Linked DNA regions of Oryzias latipes. The protein of the gene in region 1 interacts with the protein of each later gene in a biochemical or structural test. Links are inferred from orthologs where the notes say so. Each region holds a gene or a part of one and is shown on either strand. Other genes may lie near its edges.

Evidence for each region.
Region 2: of the proteins of lats1 (region 1) and mink1, one has a biochemical effect on the other in vitro, tested with the Homo sapiens proteins (2 studies listed by BioGRID). The link is inferred for Oryzias latipes from reciprocal best matches to the Homo sapiens genes LATS1 and MINK1.

What each region holds. Positions count from the first base shown.
Region 1 is NC_019882.2:17,714,425-17,718,974, reverse strand, and holds the start of lats1 (serine/threonine-protein kinase LATS1), read right to left. Parts: upstream 3,041-4,550; 5' UTR 2,853-3,040; intron 2,342-2,852; 5' UTR 2,257-2,341; coding exon 1,903-2,256; intron 1,558-1,902; coding exon 1,437-1,557; intron 859-1,436; coding exon 1-858. Other genes in the region: nucleoporin Nup43, read right to left, coding at 3,641-3,870. UniProt on the Homo sapiens protein: Negative regulator of YAP1 in the Hippo signaling pathway that plays a pivotal role in organ size control and tumor suppression by restricting proliferation and promoting apoptosis.
Region 2 is NC_019872.2:15,696,397-15,700,212, forward strand, and holds part of mink1 (misshapen-like kinase 1), read right to left. Parts: intron 3,160-3,816; coding exon 3,052-3,159; intron 2,507-3,051; coding exon 2,420-2,506; intron 706-2,419; coding exon 529-705; intron 447-528; coding exon 282-446; intron 56-281; coding exon 1-55. UniProt on the Homo sapiens protein: Serine/threonine kinase which acts as a negative regulator of Ras-related Rap2-mediated signal transduction to control neuronal structure and AMPA receptor trafficking.

The DNA.
Region 1 (4,550 bases):
GGATGGGGGCCGGCGTGATGGCGGTGACGGTGGTGGCAGAGGGCTGGGAGCTGGCGGGGTGAGCAGGCCTACCGTTCAGCTGGGGGGTGTTGAAAGAATTGGAGCGGACGGGCACGTTGTGCTGCCACGACGGGGACAGGTCCTGGTTGCTGTTGCAGTTGGCAGGCGGGGGCTGGCTCTGGGACCAGGACTGGGGGGCAATGCCGTACATCTCCAGGTTGTGGCTGTTCCGGTTACTGATCATCAGGGATGGAGGGATCCCGCCGCCGTTGATGTAGGAAGGAGACGAGGCGGGTCCCCCCACCTGGGGGTCAGTGGAGCTGCTCTGAGTAAGAGGGTAAGGGGGAGGGGGCTGTCTGCTCCCCCCTGACACATGCTCCGGTTGGGAGGAACCACTCTGAGTCCAGCTAGAGGGAAAGGTGAACTTGCTCCCCCCGGAGCTTTGCATTATGATGGGCTGGTGACTTCCAGCGGCGGGGCCGATCACTCGCTGGTTCGGGGCTGCGGGGGTTGGATACCCATCAGCCCAGGGGGCCTGAGGCACCGGGGATATGCGGGTGGGGAAGAAATCCATATTTCCAGGGAGGCGGTTAGTCTGCGGGTTGTTGTCCCAGGACGGCGCAGGTGGCATGGCCCGGTTGGGGGGAGGTGTGACGCTGCGCATCTGAGGAGGGAGGGGGGGGTTGACCCTCTGGTTGGCAGTCGGGTGAGCCTGCGAGAACGAAGGGGGGGGTCCGGGGCTGTCCGAGCGGTACATCATCCCGTCCACCATATTGGGGCCGTGGCGAGAGCCCAAAGACTCCATGGAGCCTTTCCAGCTCGGCCTCCGCAGCACCACCTGCGGCATGTGGAAGGCTTCTATACACACACACGCACACACACATCGTTAGACTAAGCACACATTCAATGCCGCACAACAGCTCCATCTTTGGCAAAAAGTGAAACTGCTTACATGCAGGATAATAATCTGATTTGAAATCAATCAATGCCTTGAAACCATAAATTTAGCCAGATTGGGATTATATCTGGGATTAAACACAAACCAGGAATATAGATTAACAAACCACAGCAAAAGATTACATGAATGGAATCTTCCCCTCAGTTATTTAATTTTATTTAGGGATTTTTTTTTTAAATTCAAGCTTTCCTAAATAACCTGAAGAATTTCATAAATGTTCGTTTTCACACAAAAAAAATTTCAGTTTTACCGAGCAGAACCTAATAAGGTGAAACAGTGAGAAAAGTGTCTGAATAACAAAAGCTCCTCGCCGTTAACCGAAGGCGTTCTATGTATCCTCAGAAACAACAGAATGTTTCCTCTCTGTCCAGAACCGCACATCTCTGAGACCGTTGGGTTACACACAAATGTTTAACCAGCCAAATAGACACAAACACTTGTCATCAAACGAAGCAACCGTCACCACAGGAGTGCGTACCCGGGGCTTTCAGGGCTGAAGAGTTTGAACTGGAAGCAGTCATCTGATCTCTCATTGGGTCCTGGTAACTCGGCTTTAACATGTAGTCTGAGGCAACCCCCCCACGGCGTCCACTGGATGGCTTCAGAAGAGAACAACTGATTAATAAGCTTGAAATGTATACAGGAAAGAAAAAAATTCAAATGTTGTGAATTTTTGGAGTGTTAATCATCAACACGTCATCATTAGGCTTTCAGAACGCACAGATGAAGATGACAGACCTCCTCCTCCTCCTCCTCCACACCAACGCCCGCAAATCGTTAACTATGCAGCTTCCATGGTATTAACTGTACCAGCTTGTCAAATACCTGGCATTTCCTACATAACTCCTCTCTAAACAAAGTGCACCATGTGACCGTCCTCAGCCGCACAAGTATGTACAGAATGGAATCCAATTATCTAAGAAGACTAAACGCATTCCTCATACCTCCTCAAACCCAGATTGGTCCTGGGACTTGTTTCCATCAGCACCTGACGTGGTGGACTCCTCGTCCCCAGAACCGTTCACTTTATACGGAACAAGGGACTTGCGGATCTCCTGTAAAGCCTTCTGGTATTGGTTTTTGAGGTTCCCGCTGCGCCCCTGCTGCCGTGGATCTTCAGGGGCCATCTTTCCAGGTCCCCCGGTGTCCCCTTTCGGCTGATCCGAGGGCTTGGTCAGGTTCCGCAGGCTGTTGCGTATTTCCTGCAGCATCTGCTGGCTGTTGCCATTGTAGTTGCTGACGGGGAAGGTCTTAGGTCTCATCTGTCTGTAGCCCTCGGGCTTCTCCGCTCTCCTCATGTAGGATCATATACGATGACGATGGAGGATGAAGAGGGTAACAGCAGTGCAGGCTCTGGTCGGTCCTCACAGCAGCATGCTTCAGCTGGATGTGTTTTCAGCAGCGTGAGAACGACAAAGAATACATGTTATGCTACCAAACAGGTTAAGCCAATTCAATTCAATTCAATTCAATTCAAAGGGGCACTGAAAAACAGGGCCATGTTTCCGTCACAAACAGGAGCTAAGCTTAGATTTAATACGTTTATATCCCTACTTCCGGGTGACATTTAATGTATTTTACATGTTTATACTTAAAAGTTAACTGTCTTCTTTGTAACACCAAAACATGCTAGCTTGTTAGCTCTGTTAGCTAACAAACGCTACTTTGACGCTAATTCTACGTCAATTAACATTAAATATGTAAACATATCTTAAAAATAAAAATCTTTTTACCTTACTATAAACATAGTAGGTGTCGTTTGTGATTAAAACAATAAGCTGTATTCGTCAGACAAAGACAAACATTTCTTTACGGCCTGCTGTGTTTGCTAAAATTCAACAGCAGCTGAGGGTTAGCGGCTGCTCAGAGACCAGCAGAGAGAACCGGAACCTACCAGCGCGTGAAGCGGCCGCTTGTCTCCCTGTTTGAACGGCTCGATGTGTTTTTGGGTTAATTCCGCTGGACGCAGGTTAAATGGATAAATGTCTGAGCCGCGGTGACTGGTTCCTTGTCGCGTTGGATTCCCGGGATGTCTGAATGACAAGTAAACGCTGCCGTCAGAGTGCAGCGCTGCACTTCCGGTGGCCGCCGCTTTCAAAATAAAACTATCAAGGGTCAAGAAACAAACAGGGAATGAGATCAAAAACAACCCATTGCTTAAAAATTTATAAAAAGCAAACCAGAAATAAAACGATTACAAGAAAAAGATCTTTAAAAAAAATCGTTTCAAATTGTTTAAAATGACTAGTGCTTCATAATACTATGAATTTTCCTTAAGGTAGGCAGTATAATTTCATATGTTTGTCTTCATCTGTGAGTATTAGTCCTCAAAAGATGATTAAACAACAGTCAAGTAAAAAAAAAAAATAGAATTTCTGTGAGGAAGTATTACTTTAAGATGTTTAACACATTTAATTTGAAATCAAGACCATTTTTCCCTGTGTTCTTAGCAGCTGACTTGTTTGTTTTTTTTTTTTTTTTACACAGTGTAAATACAAATCTATCAAATAATCGTAAATATTGGAAAATAAAAAAACAAGACTGACAATAAAACAACTTTTTAGACTTATTTGAGCGTTTATTTGTAATTTAATAACCTTTTAAATCAAATCTGTACAAAACACAGTCAGAACACAACATGAGGACAGTAACATCTCTTTCCTCACAAAAGACACTTATTTTTTAAACTGGGACATGTCTGTTGACAAAAATGGCCTCTCCGTCGGTGCCGCAGACGAGACACTGTCCGATGATGTCCAGGCTGTTGACGGACATGGTCTGGCTGGGCAGCATGTGCGTCGTCTCCAGGCAGCCTTTGCCAGAATCTCCGCAGAGCCAGGCGCTGCTGAGGGGGCGGTTCCCGCCAGCGGGGGTCAGCGCGCCGTGGGAGATCACGCTGCTGTTCCTGCCACCTGTCAACAGTTCAAACAATCCAACGTTCACCCCCAACTGCAAATATTCTCAGAATTACCCCAAATTCTATCAAAAATGCAGAGTTTACACTCTAGGATTGAGATTATTGTCCCTGTATTTGTTTCAGCGTCATTGGCTTTAAACTCTAAACTTCTTTAAAATTTCATAACAAATCTTGTCTCATATTAACCCTTTCAAAAGACTGACTTTGTTTTTAGCCAAAACACACAAATCTCTGTTGTACAAATCAGGACTGATAAGCTGTAATTAGACTTTAGAGAACTTCTGAGCTGTCAACAAGATCGTTTTAGTTTGAAGTGAAGGGATGTTTGATGAACACAAAGCAGAGGAATGTGCAAAGTCATGACTGTGTCCTCAGAGTCAACAACCAGAGAGAGAAATGTCTAAATAATTCTCAGAGAGCTACAACGCTGAGGAGGAAGGAGGAAATAAAAATTAGCTAAATCTCTACTTGGAAAGTCAAAGACACCAGGGAGCGAAATCAGAAATTGTTGTCAAAATATTCGGAGCTCTGCACAGAAATGAATGGAGAGGACGCATTAAAAAAAAAAAAAAGGAGTCAGACTGAAGAGTCTATATGTTCAAGCTTAAAGTGAATGAAAAACATTTCCAGAAAAAAATTACATTCAAAAGTACACAATGTAACCTCGAGTCATCC
Region 2 (3,816 bases), on another chromosome or scaffold:
AGCGAGGAACAGGGGCAGCGTAAGGCTTTAGAGGAACCAAATGAGCCATCTGAAACTGCAGAGGACCAGGAGGGAGGTGCAGCCAAGTGAGAGCGCAGGAAGACATCAAAGTGGGGAAGAAGACACAGTTATGTTTTTGTTGGAAGGGGATTTTGTAAATGAGGGAACAAAGTGAAAACAGACATGGAAAAGAAAAAAAGAAGCAAAGTGTCAAAGGTAAAGCAACTGAGGAATTAGGAGGCAGAAATGTAGATCCATGCATTTTCACAATAAGCACAAACCTTGCTCTGCCCCCCTTGAGGTTCCACTGGCCTCTGCATGGGTGGTGTCTGAGCAACCGATCCTGATTGGCTGATAGAATCGGCACGCGACTGGATATTAGTGTCAGAGACCGTAGTGCAGATTTTGGGTGAACCCTGCCTGTTGAGTTTACTCCGCTCCTCCACCTAGAACAGGACGGTGAAAAGAAAGGTCAACAGTGTGTCGTCATGAAGGGCGCTGTGACTTAAACCAAGCCCAGCCTGGTACCTCTCGGGCCCAATTAGGTTTGTTGTTTGGCTCCAAGTTTTTGTTGTAGTGGTAAAGCTGGGGCTTCTTGTCTTGCTGCTGCTGTTGCAAAGACACCAGGTAGGCATGCTCCTGCTGCAGCTGTCTCTGCAGCCGCTCTGACTGGCGCTGCTCCTCCAGCTGTTTGCGCTTATACTCCTGAACAAAAAAGAAAAACAGCCACAATCAAAGGACAGTGGACGCACAAAAAACATCACATGGGGCAAATATAATTGTTCAATTTCTGACAAAACGTCATCATTTTGCTGATTGGCATGAGGTAAGTCGGCTGACTTGTTGACTTTTTGTCACCAGGTCTCTGCTCTTCCAGCCTTTGGCAAACAAAAATAGTCATAACTTGAATACCTCAAGTTAAAATTCAACTTTCTGCAAAGTGTTAAAAAAACATACAGTAAACTTTAAATTAGTTTTTCCTAATATGCAAAGGTGATCTCAAATCATAAACAAATTATATTGCCACCATTATTGAGGTCTGCACTCAATGAAGAATGACGAATAGCATCATCAGCAGCAAACAGCAACTATCCGGTGGCTGCAGATCCATGGGTTTAAGCTGCCGTCTGCCCATCAGTTGATTGGGGATTTGGTTCCCAACTTAAGAGTGAGTGTGTCCTTAAATATAATGGATAACCCCACAACTCTAGGAAGCCTGAAAGTTGCTCAAGATGTCTCTTCCATCTGTCATTTTATGCGAAAATGCAATTTTCTGCAGACCAAAGTGGCTGCATTAAGATTTCTTTGTGACAAAGTGTAGTCCTAGCATGGTGCAGCCAGAGAAGAGGCCCATCTACTGCCAGCAGCACCATCAAAGCCTTTACTTCTGCTACACATAGATACCCCAGCCTGTGTTAAACACCTCATACTCCAGAAACCTATCTGACGCGACACACTGGTCTCCATAATAAGCCTTTGGTCCCAGTATTAAGTATTAAAAGCAAAAAATAATTTGGATGTAAACCTGCAACTTTAAACAGAGCTAATCTGTTGTTCTATAACTGGTAAAAACACAACACACATTTGTGCATCATAAGGAACCTATATTGGAACTCCCAAAACTATTTTAACCTAGAATTACTTTTATTTGCCACTATATTGCACTGGAATCACTACAAGCTTTGCAAAGGCTGCCACAGTTTAAATAAAAGGCAAAAATTAGAGGCAAAGGCAGTCTGCTAGTTTCTAGTTGAAAGCAGATTTGAGGATTTAAACTGCAGTAGAATCAGAGAATATTGGTTGCAAAATGTAGCCTTTAAACATTCATAGTTTCCACAGGGGGGTTGCCCTGTGACTGACCCTGTTGTCTGCCCCCATAAAGCCTAGCTCAGGAATCCTGTGAATGCACTTTTAAGTGCCTCAAGTGTTCTACATATAGAGTCAATAATCCCTCTGTAAAACTGAAATAGACCTCAGTGTTAATTATGACCTCAGTACATTCTACAGTAGGAAACTAACGGAGAAGTCACAGGAAATGCGGGAAATCTAGGCTTCAACTGAAGGCTGCAAAGCGCCTAAACTCACCTGGAAATCTAGGTCATTAAATATGTTAAAATATCTGCAATAATATGTGAGCAGCACTAATGGCTTGTAATGTACATCCACATCCTCCAATCTACCGATTAGAATAACCATTACTGCACACTTTATGACAATGTAGGGATGTTTATCTTTATTCATTTCAGATTATATGGCAAATAAAATATTTAAAAAAAAAAATCACATTACATTAAAAAGTTAAAATAAAAGCTAAATGTATTAAACACAGCATGTTTATGTCCCGACTGATTAACTGTTATTGGTGAAATAATCATAAACCCAAGCTTATGACTGTAAACAAACATTAGGGAGTAGTTACCATGAGCAGTGCCTGCTCCTGAAGCAGCTGCTGCTGTAGGATTTCTAACTGCCGCTGCTCTTCCTCTAACTTATGTCTGATAAACTCCTGCAGGAAGGTAAGAAGACAGAGGTGGTGCTCATTAGGGTGATGACAGGAGAAATGAAGGAGTGCCAGATTTGTTTAGAAGCTGGAATGATGCGTTATGCAAGATCTGTAAAATGTAGCATGAGATGTTTTGATTAAATGTCATTATTAATTACATAATAGGAAAGGTGCAGATGCTTTTTAGAAGAGGCAACGTATCTAAGTTTACACACATACTTGCAGATCTAAATAAATAAAATGAAGATAAGCAGACTTTGAGATTTGAAACATTTTACATTAGTGGGGCGCCCAGGAAACAAAGATGAGGTGTGTAGGAGTAAAAGGAGATGGTGCTCTGAGTACAGACTGAGAGGACCCTGCAAGAGCTTCCGCACAAAAAAACCCCTCTACCCTCAGTAAATACACTAATTTAGGCCTTTGCTGCTATGGCAACCCACTGATGGAATTTCACCACCAGAGCAACTTGTGCCGTATTGTTGGAAGACACGCCTTAACTTCATGGTGATTGGCTGCTTACAGATTCCGTGTCCCCTGCAGTTGGTTACCTGCTCCCTCTCAGCCATCCTTCTATCTTCCTCCCGTCTCATATCGTCAATTCTCCGATGGGGACCTTTTTCTTGCTGCCTCACCATCTCTCGCTCCTTTCTCTGTTGCTGGGAGAGAGGTGACAGGAAAGAGAAATTACACAAAGGAAACTAGTCTGCTTTTTAGCAAATGATCCCCCTGAAAAGAGCAGCAGAAAGAGTGAGGAGTAGAGAATAGATGTGACTTATCCTGACTATTACACAACTATTGGTGTGTGTGATGTTCTAATTAGAACACATCAGTGACAGTTTCTTATGTTTGACAGAGAGAAATCTTAATTTATGCTCACATTGATCACTGAAACAATGATATTTCTCAGTGAAGAAATTATGGCTTCTGAACTGGGAGAGAAACACAAATCCATTCAGCTGTTAATTATAAATTCACTGTGAGCACGGAGTGCAGGGAGAACACAATAACACCAGTTTGATCCATTAGATAAAGCAAGATCAGCACCCTAAAAAAAAACCTAAACACACAATTATCAAAAGATGAACCAATGACAGAAAAACTGACAACAAAGCGGGTGAAAACAGGTTAAGTAGACCAAATGCTCACCCTAAAAATGTAAAGGCCAGGAGGATTTTCTTCAGGGTTTTAGATCTAAATTAAGGTCGATGTTTTAGGATTCACAAATACTACAGCAGGTAATATGATTAAACCAGATGGCATTACTTCAACTTATGAGAGAAGCCAGGGATATCTTATGACCATGACTTTAAACT